Linked DNA regions of Callithrix jacchus. The protein of the gene in region 2 interacts with the protein of the main gene of each other region in a biochemical or structural test. Links are inferred from orthologs where the notes say so. Each region holds a gene or a part of one and is shown on either strand. Other genes may lie near its edges.

Region 1 (4,708 bases), on a different chromosome or scaffold from region 2:
ATCATATCAGATGTACCCATGAGAAATATGGAAATGTTCTTACATGTCGAGCTCTCACCCAATTAGAAATGCCTGACACATCGTACAATAAAGTAGCACATTCCAACATAAAAAGCAGTAACCGACAGAAAAAGCACCAGGGCTGAGATCCTTCCAGGAGCTCCTCTGCCCTTACCATTGCAAAATGGCTAAAATTCTTGGAAGAGACTATTTTCACTTTTGCTCCCGGATCCACCTTTAAAAGGAAGAGAGGAAAACCAAAAAACAAAACTAAGAGATTCTCTCCACAGCCGGCCTAGGTCTGCACTTTGCTTAGAAGGCGTGGGCCCTTTCATCTAACTTTTAAAACCCTTTTCCTCCCGAATCAGAGTCCAGAATGGGGAAAAGAAATAACTTTTCCAAAATCTACGCCTCACTATGACTGCTTACGAGGTGGCCTCTGGAGAACTCATACCTAGAAGCTGACCACGGTCATGCGGTGAGTCCAGGCAGCCGGTCGGCGACCGTACCTCCGGGAGCGAGTTCCTGGGCCTCGTGTCCCTGCCGGAAGCCCCGCAGCCCCGCAGGCCTGGTGCCCGAGGTCCCGCTCCACTGCCCGCGTCGCCCGCGCAGCCTTATATCTAACGGTCAATTCCTGCAATCTGTCGCTTCCCCCTCCCCCCTCGCCTTGTTTTTTTTTTTTTTCTTCCAAGAAGCCCATCTACCAGTTGCTGTGTCCTCGCTCAACAATAATTACCTCGTCCGAGAATTAATTATAATAAATGTTTTCTTGATAAACTAACGAGATAATCCGAGGGGCACACGTCCCTTAATTACAGGCAGCCATGCTCCGCTCTGCTTCTCGTCCGGGCTGATTAATTTTCTGCATGATGGAAAGGAAACAAAACTACGCGGACTGGCGACTGGCCTGAGGCTGGAAAGACGACGAAGAGGAGGAAAGAAAGAAAAAGGAGACGTGTGGGCACCGCGGAAAACGGCGGGCGTTGGCCTCTCTCCGGCGAACTCGAGTGAAAGTTTCTGGCCTCGGGGAATCAAACAACTCTGCCACCCGCGAGGGAGGGAGGAAGAAACGTGCCAAAAGGGTTGGCCTTGACTATTAATTATCGTTGGGAGAAAGCCCCGGTGTTAGCAGCGCTGAGGTCTGGGTGTCTACCTTGCTCTGGGGGGAGGAGTTTCCTCTCCTGCTCCTCTCCCCTGCTAATAACTTTTGGCACCTGGAAAAAGTCCCGAACTGAGCAGGAGAAATTCCTTCCCGAAAAGCCCTAGGATGCTGGGGAGAATTTCAAGGAGCGACTTCCCTGTCCTCTCCCCAAGCAATCAGCCACCGCAGGGTCAGCGCCGCTCGGCCTTCGCTCCCCGCGCACCACTTCGGCCTGGGAAGGAGGCAAAAGCCAACTCAGTGGAATTCTGACGGAGGACTTGGGTTTCCAAAAATGTGTCCCGAAATCGGGCATCGATTTCAACAGTCACCTGAACGCAGCAAAGCGAAGACTTCTTGGGAGTTTGCAGCCCGACCAGTCGCCCGGGACCGGAGCTGGCAGAGACCTTCTAATGGTTCTCACTGAGCAGACCCAGGGCACAAGCTGGGCCTCGGCGAACCCCTCCGCCCCCGCCCGGTCCAGACCCACGACACCTCATTGTCTCCGAGCCTGAACCTGGGAAGGGGGTGCGCGAGCGCGCGGGCAAGCCCTGACGCTCCCCGCCAGAGAACAGCTGAGGGGCCGCGGTCCCAGCAGAAGGATTCCTGTCCTCGGCCCGGCCGCGGCCTCGGGCGGAGCAGGGGCCACTCGCTGCCACTTCTGCCCGCCCCAGGTGCGCGCGGAGGGCGACGGGGGCGGGCCGCGAACCATGCCCGGCAAAGTCCTGTTGAAAAACCACTCTTCACGTTCTCTCGGCCGTGTGACCAGGGTCGGGGACCAGGGCAACCGGGGGTGGGGGTAGGGGGCTGCGTAATTTCAGCCCAAGGTGGTTTGGTTTTGTGGGGTGGTGGGTGTTTAAAAACAAAGAGGTGACCTGGAAGCTTTTGGAAGAAAGAGAACCGAGCTGCGTTAGGCTGAGGGAGAGGAGGCCAAAAAAAAGCGAGCGGCGAGCGCCGGGGCTGACTACAAACCAGCGCTCTCGTCCTCCTCGGTTATCCGCTCCGGTTTCCACTCAGGTTCATCAGGGGCGGGCAGGGGCTCGAGCGGCTGCCCCTGGCCCAGGCAGACCCGCAAGCCAGCCAGGTTTCCGGCGCGCGGGCCCAAGGAGGCGCCTGACTTTTTATTATCGTTGTTTCAATCCATACATCTAGCTACATCTGCATCGTTTTGTCTCGGACTCTAAAAACGTCTTTGGGATCCATCCAAACGACCCCAAACCAATCTAGGGGCCAAAACGCAAAGATCGCGGGGAGAAGCCCAGAACGGCGTTGACGTAAAAACAAAACCACAAACAAAACCTTCCAAAACACCCAGATTACACTCGCAGCGTTTCGACGACGTTTTGCAGAAGCGACGACCCCCAGGAGCACGCTCTCTGACTCTCTCCCACTCCCGCTCTCATTTCCAGATCACATTTCTTTTTTTGCAACGATCGTTGTTACGCCTCAAAATTTGTAAGAGAAAATAATGCATCCGCCTGCAGAACTCCACGTTCCCACAGGGGCATCGGTCGGTCTATTGGCGGTACTATAGGGTGATGGCCGACAGACACCAGTACACGTAGATATAGAGAGACAAGACAGACGGACACTTACCTTACAGCCTCATGGGAGGTTAGAAAAAGTCAAATATCCTTCAAATTCCAAATAGCCAGCTATCCTAAAAGAAATCAAGAGTATTGAGTTAGAAACCTTGTAGTCTTCACCCATCCATGAAAAGTCAAACACAACCAAAAAGAAAAAAAATTTTTTTTAAGAACAAAAAATGAGGAAGGCGGCTAGAGTTCTAAACACGCGTGGGCCCTTCTGCAATACATACAAAGTATATGTAGTGAGTGAGGGCTGCTCTAGCAATTTTTATTTTTAATCACAGTGGAGGCTGAGTTGGAGCTGAGGTCGGTCCCGCTCTCAGGGAGATTTGCTGAGAAAGCGCCTCTCTGGCAACTTTTTGACGCAAACTCTCCAACCAATGGCAGGGAGAGAATGATTGACACATCTAAGCCAGAGGGAAAATAATAAAAACACACAACAGGGGGAGGAAAACAGGCCGCTGCTGCACCGGGGGATGAGCCGGCAACAAATCCAGGCTTCCGACATTACCAGAATGTTCTTTAAAGACACTGGGCTCCGCTTAAAATATACATTATGGGCCGGAGCATGTGAACTAATTGTATAATTAAAATGATGGACAGGGAGTTCTTCTCTTACCCTCTTTTTCTCTGGTTCCTTTACTCTGAAATTTCCTTTCCTCTTTCCTTTGTGTTTTTTTTATTTTTAGGGAAGGGAAGAAAGGAAACCCATACAATGTAAGATGGGAAGATAAAAATATTTAAGTAAATGCTGAAGCAGCGCAGGGGGCGGAGTGGAGGAGTGGGGAGTGACTGGGTTATCACATTCAAGCCCAGCAATAAGGGTGTGGATGAGAGGCAGAAAGCAGGTAAGACTGAAACTCAAAAACACTACTATGCCTTCTCAAACAGGGCCAGAGCACGCTGACGGCCAGAAAGGGTAAAAGAGGGAGGGATGGAGTGCCATGTGGGCATGTAGGGAAGACAGAGAGATACACCAGTCCAAGAACAAACTATTTTCTAAATCTCAGTGTCTTCTCTATTCCCTACCCCGTTATAAATATCTTTAGACATATAAGTAAATGATCCCTGAGTGAGAGACCCCGGCTTCTGGTAGGCGCCTGGGTTTTTTTTTTTTTTTTGGAGTTGTGAAGCCCAAGACTGACTGTAGGGAACACGAACCCCGGAATCAAATCACAGATCCCATTTAGGGGAAGTAGCTGGGGCCACATCAGGCCTGGAGGATGCGAGTGTGAGGTAGACAGGATATCGGGGAAGGGAGCGAACGTGGAAGGCCCCCGTTGGAAACAGTTTCTGTGTTAGAACAAACGCCGCCAAATGCCGGACACTGCGAGGCCTGGAGCTAACTGGGCTGGCGCCGCCCGAGCCCCGAGCTGAGAGCCGGGAGGCTGGGAAGTGATGGGAGCTGGGGACCCGAGCCAGAGAGTGCGACCTCCAGCCCAACTTTTTTGCCTGGCACAGAGATCAGGGACCGGACAGGTTTCAAACGGATCTGAGTCTCTAGAAAAGCAAAAACAGACTGGGCGGAGTATGCGGGGAGGGATATCGGAATTGCTGAGTGGATGTGAATAACGGTGGGGGGAGCGGAGGGAGCAGAAAACAGCTCTTCTCAATACCCAGTGCAGTAAAAGAAAAATAAAATCTCTTCCTAAACACCTCCCCCCCTCACCACCACCAACTACCATCACCACCACTGCTAGTGGGCCCAAAGAAAGAGCTCGCTGCCTTTAATTTGGGGACCTATGTTAATGAAGTTGGTAATTAATTCGTCGCTTTGTTGTCGGTTCTTATACTGTATGTGTAATCAAATGTGGCCGTCCTTGGGATTTACAGCAATTAACGAATTACGGGAGTGCGCACGAGGCAGCAAGCTTTCGGCAGCGGGGCTGGGCTCCGGCTCCAGCTCGGCCTGGGGCTGGGGACTCCGTGGCCGCAGCCTCTGTCACAGGTGTCTCTAAAGCTTTGGGCCCTGGTGGCCCCT
Region 2 (4,703 bases):
CGCCCCTTCCCTGGCGCACCGGGCTGGCCTGCCCCTCTTGGGAGTCTTCAGCACTCTGGGGTCCGAAGGGCACGGCTTCCGCGCAGATGCAGACCCTGACTTTGGGGTAGATTCCCGCCCTGACACTCAGCCGGCTGATGAGTGTCCTCTCTGTGAATTGTCCAAATCATCGGCCTTTCAGCAGCAAGACATCTGCCCCTTGGGTCCCAAACAGTGCAGACCTGCCAGGCCTGGGGTTGGGGAGGCGGTTCCCCGGTGCCTACTGCTCCCTCCTCGCTTGGCTTCCAGCCTCACCCTCACTCGATCTTCAATGCGAAGCTCCGTGTCTGCCATCTCGCTTGTCTTCTGCAGCCAGCGCCCCCAATTTTGGACAAGTGGGCTGGATGCCCACCAGTTCCTATGTTTTCTCTGTCTCTGAGTGGGTGGGTACAGGGCTGAATCCCCAGGGTCCAGCCAGGATTTTAGAAGAAACAGCCTCCACAACCAAACACCTGCAATATTTCCCTACTCCCAATCTCTGCTCACAGAGATCTTGGTGGCTAACACAGTACAGAAGACAATTTTTGAACCCAGGAACTGCAGTGGAAATAAAAGTATACGATTACTGGAGTTTCTAATTTCTATAAAGCCGCCCCTCTGGAAGGCAGAGAGGACAGAGACCCTCTTAAAAGTCAACTCCATATGCCCCATCATTGATTCCTGGATTTTTCTCTCTTCACCCCTCCCTCCCCACCTCTTGCCCTGTTTGTTTTAGTTACGAAATGCTGTGGGCACCTCGGTTGTGACTGAAAAGTAACCTTGAAACACGCCGGCCTGAATGTCAAGAGACAAATCTCAGCCTCCCAATCGTCGGCCGCGGCTAGAGGGGTTGCGTGCGCCGGGAGCCAGCCTCCCCGCTGAGGGTCGCGGGCGGCGGGACTCGTAGGAAGCGGAGAGCCGAGGCTGCGGGACCGTGCGCCCCGCGCGTTTCCCCGGGCCGCTCAGGGTCTGAACTGTAACAGGGAGGGCCCTCGCAGGAGCAGCGGCGGGCGAGTTGAAGGTGTGTACACTAAATACGACAGCGCTTTGCAGATTGGCTCTGTCATCCGCTTGTTGTTTTGACAGGGAATGAGCGCTGAGAACCACGAAACCCGGCATAAATAAAACCGGCTTTCCTAGGGTTCTGCCGGGCAGGGAGGCTGGACAGGCCCTCCGACAGGAGCACCGAGCGCCCGGCTCTATGGGACGGGGCGGGGGCTGGAGCCCGGAGCCGCCCCGGAGGGTGGTCTCCTCCCAGGTCCCTCCTTCCTCGGGGGACTCGCCGCGTACCCGGGAGGAAAGGGGACTAGACCAGGGATCCCGCGTGCCGGATCACCCGCCTGGCCCGCTCTCCAGGCCCGCCCAGGAGTGCCGGGCGCCGCGGTAGCGGGGCGGGCGGCAGGCGCCGAGGGGCAGGTTCGGGGCGCCCGCGGCAGCTCCCTCTCACCTAGGTGTGAGCTGATTATTCAAATGGGCTGCCCCGGGTCTGGGGATTGGAGGCCCGCGCCAGCGCGCCGCGCTATATCACCAGCCGCCCACGTCACTGCGGCACTTGTCCGCTCCGCGGTCCACACCTCCTCCTCCTCCTCCTCCACCACCTCCTCCTCCTCCTCCTTCTCCTCCTCCTCCACCTCCTCCTTCTCCCTCCTCCTCCTCATACCCCCCCCCACCAGCCCCCGCGCCGCGCGCTTCCCGCCGCCTTGGGGCAGCTCGGCACTGCCAACCTCAGCCGCCACCGGGCAGCCCGTGAGCGCGGCGGCGGCGGAGGGCGCTCCCTACCGCGGGGCGCTGGCCGGGGCCTCCTCCGCTTCTCGCCGCCCCCCCTCCCCCCCACTTCCAACTAACGTCTCCGACCGGCCCTGGGAGAGAGAGGGAGTGGAGCCCAGGGAGAGGGAGTGCGAGAGAGGGAGGGAGGAGGGGACGGTGCCTCGGCTGACTTTTTTTAAAAGAGGGTGGGGGTGGGGGTGATTGCTGGTCGTTTGTTGTGGCTGTTAAATTTTAAACTGCCATGCACTCGGCTTCCAGTATGCTGGGAGCGGTGAAGATGGAAGGGCACGAGCCGTCCGACTGGAGCAGCTACTATGCCGAGCCCGAGGTAAGCGCTCGCCTTTTCCTGGGGGAAGTGGCGCTCGCTCCTTCCCCAACCTCAGGACCGCTTCCCTCGCTGGCACCCTCCTCCCCACCCTAGCCTTTCTGGGCAGCCGCCTTTTCCGCCCTCCTTCGACTCAAATGGGTCTCTTTTTTATACGACACACTGTTAGCCTTGAGATAATATTAACTTTGTGATCAAATATTGACTTGCGGCGCCTCCAAATCCTCTTCGTGGCCGAGCCACGCACTATCCTAACAGAGTTATGTTTGGCAGCGTGCGGCTGGGGAGGGGTGGGAGGTCGGCCGGCGAGGGGGTGGGGAGCTGAGGAGGAGAAGATGGGTAGGAGTTGGGGGCCGAGGTGGAGGCAGAGTCAAAGACTCGTGGACAAAGAGAAAGAAAGTTTGTGCCGGCAAAGCCCAGCCGTGTGTAGTTCGGGTCTCCGTTTCTTCCCTATTGCCCCATTCAGTGCCTCCCTCCGACCCTGCACTCCGCACAGGCTCTGCCTTTCAGTCCCCCTTGGACAAGGGAGGGCGTCCCGGGAGGGAGGTCGGACAGAAGGGGCCCGAAACAGTCTTCGCTGGAGGCAGCTCGAGGCGCCCAGCGCGGTGTCCCGCAGGTTGCTTGCTGCGACTGGAGGTGGCGTCCGGGGACTTCGGGCCTCGGAGCCAGCTCAGTATGCTGGTAGGAGAGTTTGGGGAGACTCTGGCATAGGATAATGCATTTGGGGTTCTGGCTTGGGAGTACTCCATGGGACCCCTGTTCTAGAACCTGGGCGAGGTGGAGAAGAGCTAAGAACGGGCCATATGCTCAGGCAGCCTTCCCAGGGCGATCGATCGTGGCTCTCCTTGGATGAAACAGACTCGGAGTCCGGAGACTGGGCCACAGGGGAGGAAAGGGCTCCCCGGAGGCCTCCCCGGAGGCGGAGGCCTGGGCGGCGGGTGGGAGGTCTGGGCACCCTCCAGCCGCGGTGCTAACGCTGTCGCCTCCCTCTCGGGGCTCTGTCCGCAGGGCTACTCCTCCGTGAGCAACATGAACGCTGGCCTGGGGATGAACGGCATGAACACGTACATGAGCATGTCGGCGGCCGCCATGGGCAGCGGCTCCGGCAACATGAGCGCGGGCTCCATGAACATGTCGTCGTATGTGGGCGCGGGCATGAGCCCGTCCCTGGCAGGCATGTCCCCCGGCGCGGGCGCCATGGCGGGCATGGGTGGCTCCGCCGGGGCGGCCGGCGTGGCGGGCATGGGGCCGCACCTGAGTCCCAGCCTGAGCCCGCTCGGGGGGCAGGCGGCCGGGGCCATGGGCGGCCTGGCCCCCTACGCCAACATGAACTCCATGAGCCCCATGTACGGGCAGGCGGGCCTGAGCCGCGCGCGCGACCCCAAGACCTACCGGCGCAGCTACACGCACGCCAAGCCGCCCTACTCCTACATCTCGCTCATCACCATGGCCATCCAGCAGAGCCCCAACAAGATGCTGACGCTGAGCGAGATCTACCAGTGGATCATGGACCTCTTCCCCTTCTACCGGCAGAACCAGCAGCGCTGGCAGAACTCCATCCGCCACTCGCTGTCCTTCAACGACTGCTTCCTGAAGGTGCCCCGCTCCCCCGACAAGCCGGGCAAGGGCTCCTTCTGGACCCTGCACCCCGACTCGGGCAACATGTTCGAGAACGGCTGCTACCTGCGCCGGCAGAAGCGCTTCAAGTGCGAGAAGCAGCTGGCGCTGAAGGAGGCCGCGGGCGCCGCGGGTGGTGGCAAGAAGGCGGCATCCGGGGCGCAGGCCTCGCAGGCGCAACTGGGGGAGGCCGCCGGGCCGGCCTCCGAGACTCCGGCGGGCACCGAGTCGCCTCACTCGAGCGCCTCCCCGTGCCAGGAGCACAAGCGAGGGGGCCTGGGAGAGCTGAAGGGGACGCCGGCGGCGGCGCTGAGTCCCCCGGAGCCGGCGCCCTCTCCTGGGCAGCAGCAGGCCGCGGCCCACCTGCTGGGCCCGCCCCACCACCCGGGCCTGCCGCCCGAGGCGCACCTGAAGCCGGAGCACCACTACGCCTTCAACCACCCCTTCTCCATCAACAACCTCATGTCCTCGGAGCAGCAGCATCACCACAGCCACCACCACCACCAGCCCCACAAAATGGACCTCAAGGCCTATGAACAGGTGATGCACTACCCGGGCTACGGCTCCCCCATGCCTGGCAGCCTGGCCATGGGCCCCGTCACGAACAAAACGGGCCTGGACGCCTCCCCTCTGGCCGCAGATACCTCCTACTACCAGGGGGTGTACTCCCGGCCCATTATGAACTCTTCTTAAGAAGACGACGGCTTCAGGCCCGGCTGACTCTGGCAGCCCGGATCGAGGATAAGTGAGAGAGCAAGTGGAGTCGAGACTTTGGCGAGGCCGCGTTGCAGAGACGCAAGGGAGAAGAAATCCATCGCGCCCACCTCAACCCCCCAAGACAGCAGTCTCCCCCACCCGCTGCAGCCCTTCCGTCCCAAACAGAGGGCCACATTGATATCCCGCGTTCTATATAAGGAGGAAAACGGGAAAAAATATGAAGTCAAAAAAAAGTGTCCTGTTTCCACTACTGTGTAGA
Region 3 (4,895 bases), on a different chromosome or scaffold from region 2:
GGCAGAGGGTTTGGGGACCACAGCCAGGCAGAGCAGCGTCTCCAGCAAGTGGAGGCCTAGGACAGCCTTAGGAAAGAGGCAGGGTCTGTGTGGCCCGAGGGCAGCTAACAAAGCCCTGGGCTTTTCCTCCTTCTTTCTCACTCTGTCTCTCTGTTTTGTACCCAGCAAGTTAACTTGGTTTCCTCAGAGATGGTCAGGGTGGCCTCGGGCTTTGGAACCGCCTGCAGCTTTTCCCACCTTCTGCCCTGAACTTTGTGATGGGTCAGAGTTAGGAAGGCGATGGGCCAGTGTTGGTCTGAGGTCTCCCTGCACAGGTCATCTGCTCAGGTAGCCTCAGACCTACGGGCTTCCAGGACTGAACAGACAGACAGAAAAGCAGACAGAGCCACTCACTATTTGGCACAAACCAGACCAAGAGAACTTACAATAGAAAGTTTATTTTTTGTTCCAGTCAGTATTTTTTCCTTAAAAACAAATACCAAAAAACAAAACAAAACAAAAAGCTGATCACAGTTTGCTTAAAACAGCCAGACTTGGACAATATTTGTAACTTTGTTCACAAAAACATACATCACTGAAGCTGCGCTTATAAGAGCCACTTCCAGAGTTCGTGCAAAGGGTCCTACAAAGGCACGCAGGGACACACCGCTTGGAGTCACAGTTTTCGTCACAGTCACTAGTCACTACATGTTGAACAAGTCGTGTCTCATCAAGTCACCTCTACAACAGCATTAATTACACAAGGAATATAGGTAGTTTGAATAAAAATATCTTTAACAGCTTGGAGCTATTGAGACAGGAACACTTCCACGCACATGCACAGTTAAACAACTTGAGTGCAACACACAACATTGGCACTAAACGAGATTGAAGGGGGAATTTTTGTGTGTTTTTTTCTCTTTTTTTTTTGTTATAGTTACTTCAAGTAACACAGCTTGCTTCATATAAATAAGTTAAAACATCTATTTTTTTTTTTTTCAAGACAAAGCCATTCAGGACAAAGAGATGAACAGAAAGCAGATCTACTTATACAGGCGCTATAATGGCAATAAACAGGCTCATGATTAAAAGATGAATTAGGGCAACGAGAACAGGGCTTCTTCACAGAAGGAACACAAGGGAGTTTCAGAAAGTCACCTTTGTACTGACACTATGCGGGATCCGCTAATACTGCTCAGTACTTTAAACGCTCAGATATTCAGGGGCGGAAGGCCCCTCCTGCCGCGGCCATGCTCATGCTTTTCAGCTTATTATCTTTTTTCCACTTCATTCTCCGGTTTTGGAACCAGATTTTAATTTGTCTCTCGGAGAGGCAAAGAGCATGTGCTATTTCAATCCTTCTTCGGCGGGTCAGGTAGCGGTTGAAGTGGAACTCCTTCTCTAGCTCCAGGGTCTGGTAGCGCGTGTAGGCCGTCCGGGCCCTTTTGCCTTCCGGGCCGCCTATGTTGTCTGCAACAGAAAAGTCAGCGGTTTAGCCACCAACTCCTCACCCCCTGGCTTCCAAAGTCCGCCAGGGGGACAAGCTTGCGTCCTGAATAGGGAACCCAGGCGAAAGGCTCAACAAGTTCTCCATACCAGCCCGCACACCCCTCCCGAATTTCCTTCCCTCTTCCTTTCTAGAGAGAAAACAATACAATTTGGACCCTGGGAACAATCCGCCCATCTGAGGCTGGGGCCATGTCCGGAGGACTCCGGCTTTCCCTGGCCTCACTCCTGCCCTCTCCACCCTGCCCCGGGCGCCCCGACTGGGAGGCACAGCTCTCCCAGGCTGCCCACCGCTCCGAAGCCCAGGAAGCACGACCCTTTCCTGAGCGCCCAAGTGGCCTTCGGGTCACCCTCCCTCAAAGTTCCAGTCCCTCAAGCCGCCTCCAGTTTACAGCCTGCAGGCTTGGGGCGCCTGCTTTCTTTTTCTTCCCTTTCCTTCTCTCTCCCTACTGCCCCCAAACTTCAGAATCCTGCCGGCTCTCGCCTCGATTTTTCCCCCCAAGCCCCTTTTCCGGGGCTCTAATTAGTAACGCTGTTTCCCCAGCGTAGCCCCCTTCATAAATCATCCGCCCTGACAAGCCCGATTCACGGCTCCTACTGCCATCCTCTACCTCTCTGTGCCTTGCTCGGCTGGCCTGACCCAGGAGCGCGTTCCACAGCGTGGGGTTCAGAGGGTTTTTTTTTTTTTTCTTCCTTCCCCTTTCAGTGCCTAAACTGGCCCAGCCAGCGCCCGATTCCCCCATTATTTATGAGCGCGGAGTGTTTGCAAGGAAGAGGAGGAAGGAGGAAGGCAGGAGAAGGAGAATGGCAAAGAGAGGCTCCGCAGGGCTGGGAGAAATGAGACCAGAAGAGAGACTGGGAGAGGGTGGCAGAGGAAAGAGAGGGGATCGAGAGCCGCGTCCCCCACGGTAGCGTGGATTTAGAAAAAGGCTGGCTTTACCATGACTTATGTGCAGCTTGCGCATCCAGGGGTAGATCTGGGGTTGGGCGGGCGGCGCCGGGCTCGGCTCGCTCTGCGCACTCGCCTGCTCGCTGCTGGCAGGGGCGTCCTCCTCTGCTCCGGACGCCGTGCCAACCCCCTCTCTGCTGCTGATGTGGGTGCTGCCGGCGTTGGCCGAGGCGCCGCTGGAGTTGCCCAGGGAGTTTTTCCCGCCGTGGTGGCTGTCGCCGCCGGGCGAGGGGGCCACGGCGGAGCAGGGCAGCGGGTCAGGCGGAGGCGAGTGCGTGGACGTGGCCGGCTGGCTGTACCTGGGCTCGGCGGGCGCCGCGCTGGCGCCGGCCGCGTAGCTGCGGGCGCGCTCTCCGGAGCCAAAGTGGCCGGACCCCGAGCGGCCGACGCTGAGATCCATGCCATTGTAGCCGTAGCCGTACCTGCCGGAGTGCATGCTCGCCGAGTCCCTGAATTGCTCGCTCACGGAACTATGATCTCCATAATTATGCAACTGGTAGTCCGGGCCATTTGGATAGCGACCGCAAAATGAGTTTACAAAATAAGAGCTCATTTGTTTTTTGATATGTGTGCTTGATTTGTGGCTCGCGGTCGTTTGTGCGTCTATAGCACCCTTGCACAATTTATGATGAATTATGGAAATGACTGGGACATGTACTTGGTTCCCTCCTACGTAGGCACCCAAATATGGGGTACGACTTCGAATCACGTGCTTTTGTTGTCCAGTCGTAAATCCTGCCTGATGACCTCTAGAGGTAAACTCGTGCACTAATGGGGGAGTTGGGTGGAGGCGAGAGGGTTGGCGCGCGTGCCCCGGGCGCGTGCCCGCTGCTCGTTGCCGCCGTTCAGTCGGACTCGAGCGCCACCCGCTGGAGTCAGGGCGCATCGCCCCGCTTCCGACCCGGGGTTGCAAGGGCTGGGGTCGAATTGAGGTTACAGCCCATTATGGCAAAATTATTGCATTTCCCTCGCAGTTCCATTAGGATGTACCAATTGTTAGGCCGTCAGCTGCCGATCGCGCGCCGGGCGAGGATACAGAGGATTGGGGGGAGGTGGTGACCTGCATTTTATTTACAACAACTTTATTTCCCCCGTTTTGCAGCCCCTCTTATTTTTGTGTCGAGGTTGGGGTCGACTCTGCCCGTCCTGCCGGCAGCTCTGAATTTTGAAAATACAGATACCACCTTTGGGGAAGGGGGAAAGCCATTTAGCCAATTGGAGAAATAAATCCTGCCCGCAGCAGCAGCAGCAGCAGCAGCTACAATTACGGCTCTGTTTTTGCTAGCGCATGAGGGACAGTGTCCCTGCCGCTCTTAAATGACAGGCGTCTATTAAAGATAGCTTTTGTGTAGTGTTTCTCCAAAGCGAGGTCAAATTCCATACAATTTTATAACCGTAGTTGATTTTTCTTTCGTGTGAGTATGGTTTTCATGTCATTAGTTTGCTATTTGATTTGCTTACGTATCCAGCTTGGAAAGCCTTCATCACAGGGTCTGGTTCCTCGAGCCAGCCGGGCCCCAAGTTGGAGGGTTCTCGTTGAACTCAGCGAGTGGGCCCAGGCTCCTTGCAGCCACAGAGGCTGCTTAGGGTCTGAGGATCCGCGGGCCGGGTTACTGGGGTCTTGCTTAGACCTCCAGGAGTGAAATGAGGGCGATAATGGAAGCATTTCGTGGCAGTGCCTAGTATCTCCGTAGTTATTTTCCAGGGCTCCGAAAGACGCAAGTAAATCACAAATACAGCTGAGAGGCAAGCGGAGTCTCCCCGCTGGAGGCCCGGTGTTGCAGGCGCCCCTGGTACCTCTGGAAGCCAGGACTCTGGAGGCTCCCATGGCCCCGGGCCCCTCGTTGGGTCTGAACGCTGCTGTGGTGGCCACGCGGGCGCTATCCGAGGGAGGGAGCGGGAATCCGGAGCCGGGAGCCTGAGGGAGCCCAGACGGTCCCCGGACTGTACTGTTCCACTCGCGCCCAGGTTAGCTCGCCTCGTCTGGGGCAGCTTCTCTTCCACTGACGGTTGCGCAAGCAGGGCCGAGAGACTGGGCTCTGTTGGGGCCCCCTTTGTTCCTCCAGCTTCCTGTTCTGGGAGGCGCCCTGGGAGGCCGAGACAACGCCAGGACCCAGCACTTAGACCCCCTCTTTCCACCGGCCAGAGATGATTTGATGATGCCCTTCGGGACCTCCTGGCGAGGGACCTAGGCAGAGACGCCCAGACAAGAAACGGGACTCGGCCCAGGGCTCTTTCCTCCCTAGTAGCCCCGTGTCCCTAGGTCGGGGAGCGCAGAGGCACTAGCACAGGAGCCCCGGACGCATTCAGGGCGCACCCCGGAGCTCCGGCTCGGGTTTGGGCAGCCTTGTGGAGCGGGACTGTGTGTGTGCAGTGCGCCCCGCTCCACCGCTGGTATTGGCTGTGTGTGAGGTTTTGTTTTGTAAGAAATAAATGCACAGACGCTTGCAAAGCTGCGGGC

What was found.
Region 1: the proteins of FOXA2 (region 2) and OTX2 form a complex in vitro, tested with the Homo sapiens proteins (2 studies listed by BioGRID). The link is inferred for Callithrix jacchus from reciprocal best matches to the Homo sapiens genes FOXA2 and OTX2.
Region 3: the proteins of FOXA2 (region 2) and HOXA5 form a complex in vitro, tested with the Homo sapiens proteins (2 studies listed by BioGRID). The link is inferred for Callithrix jacchus from reciprocal best matches to the Homo sapiens genes FOXA2 and HOXA5.

Annotation. Positions count from the first base shown.
Region 1 is NC_133509.1:91,472,466-91,477,173, forward strand, and holds the start of OTX2 (homeobox protein OTX2), read right to left. Parts: upstream 3,062-4,708; 5' UTR 2,958-3,061; intron 2,799-2,957; 5' UTR 2,735-2,798; intron 1,877-2,734; exon of another isoform or gene 737-1,876; intron 591-736; exon of another isoform or gene 455-590; intron 435-454; exon of another isoform or gene 176-434; intron 1-175. UniProt on the Homo sapiens protein: Transcription factor probably involved in the development of the brain and the sense organs. Can bind to the bicoid/BCD target sequence (BTS): 5'-TCTAATCCC-3'.
Region 2 is NC_133506.1:29,610,415-29,615,117, reverse strand, and holds the start of FOXA2 (hepatocyte nuclear factor 3-beta), read left to right. Parts: upstream 1-1,745; 5' UTR 1,746-2,026; coding exon 2,027-2,113; intron 2,114-3,118; coding exon 3,119-4,420; 3' UTR 4,421-4,703. UniProt on the Homo sapiens protein: Transcription factor that is involved in embryonic development, establishment of tissue-specific gene expression and regulation of gene expression in differentiated tissues.
Region 3 is NC_133512.1:30,951,978-30,956,872, reverse strand, and holds HOXA5 (homeobox protein Hox-A5), read right to left. Parts: upstream 3,062-4,895; 5' UTR 2,988-3,061; coding exon 2,426-2,987; intron 1,450-2,425; coding exon 1,199-1,449; 3' UTR 418-1,198; downstream 1-417. UniProt on the Homo sapiens protein: Sequence-specific transcription factor which is part of a developmental regulatory system that provides cells with specific positional identities on the anterior-posterior axis. Also binds to its own promoter.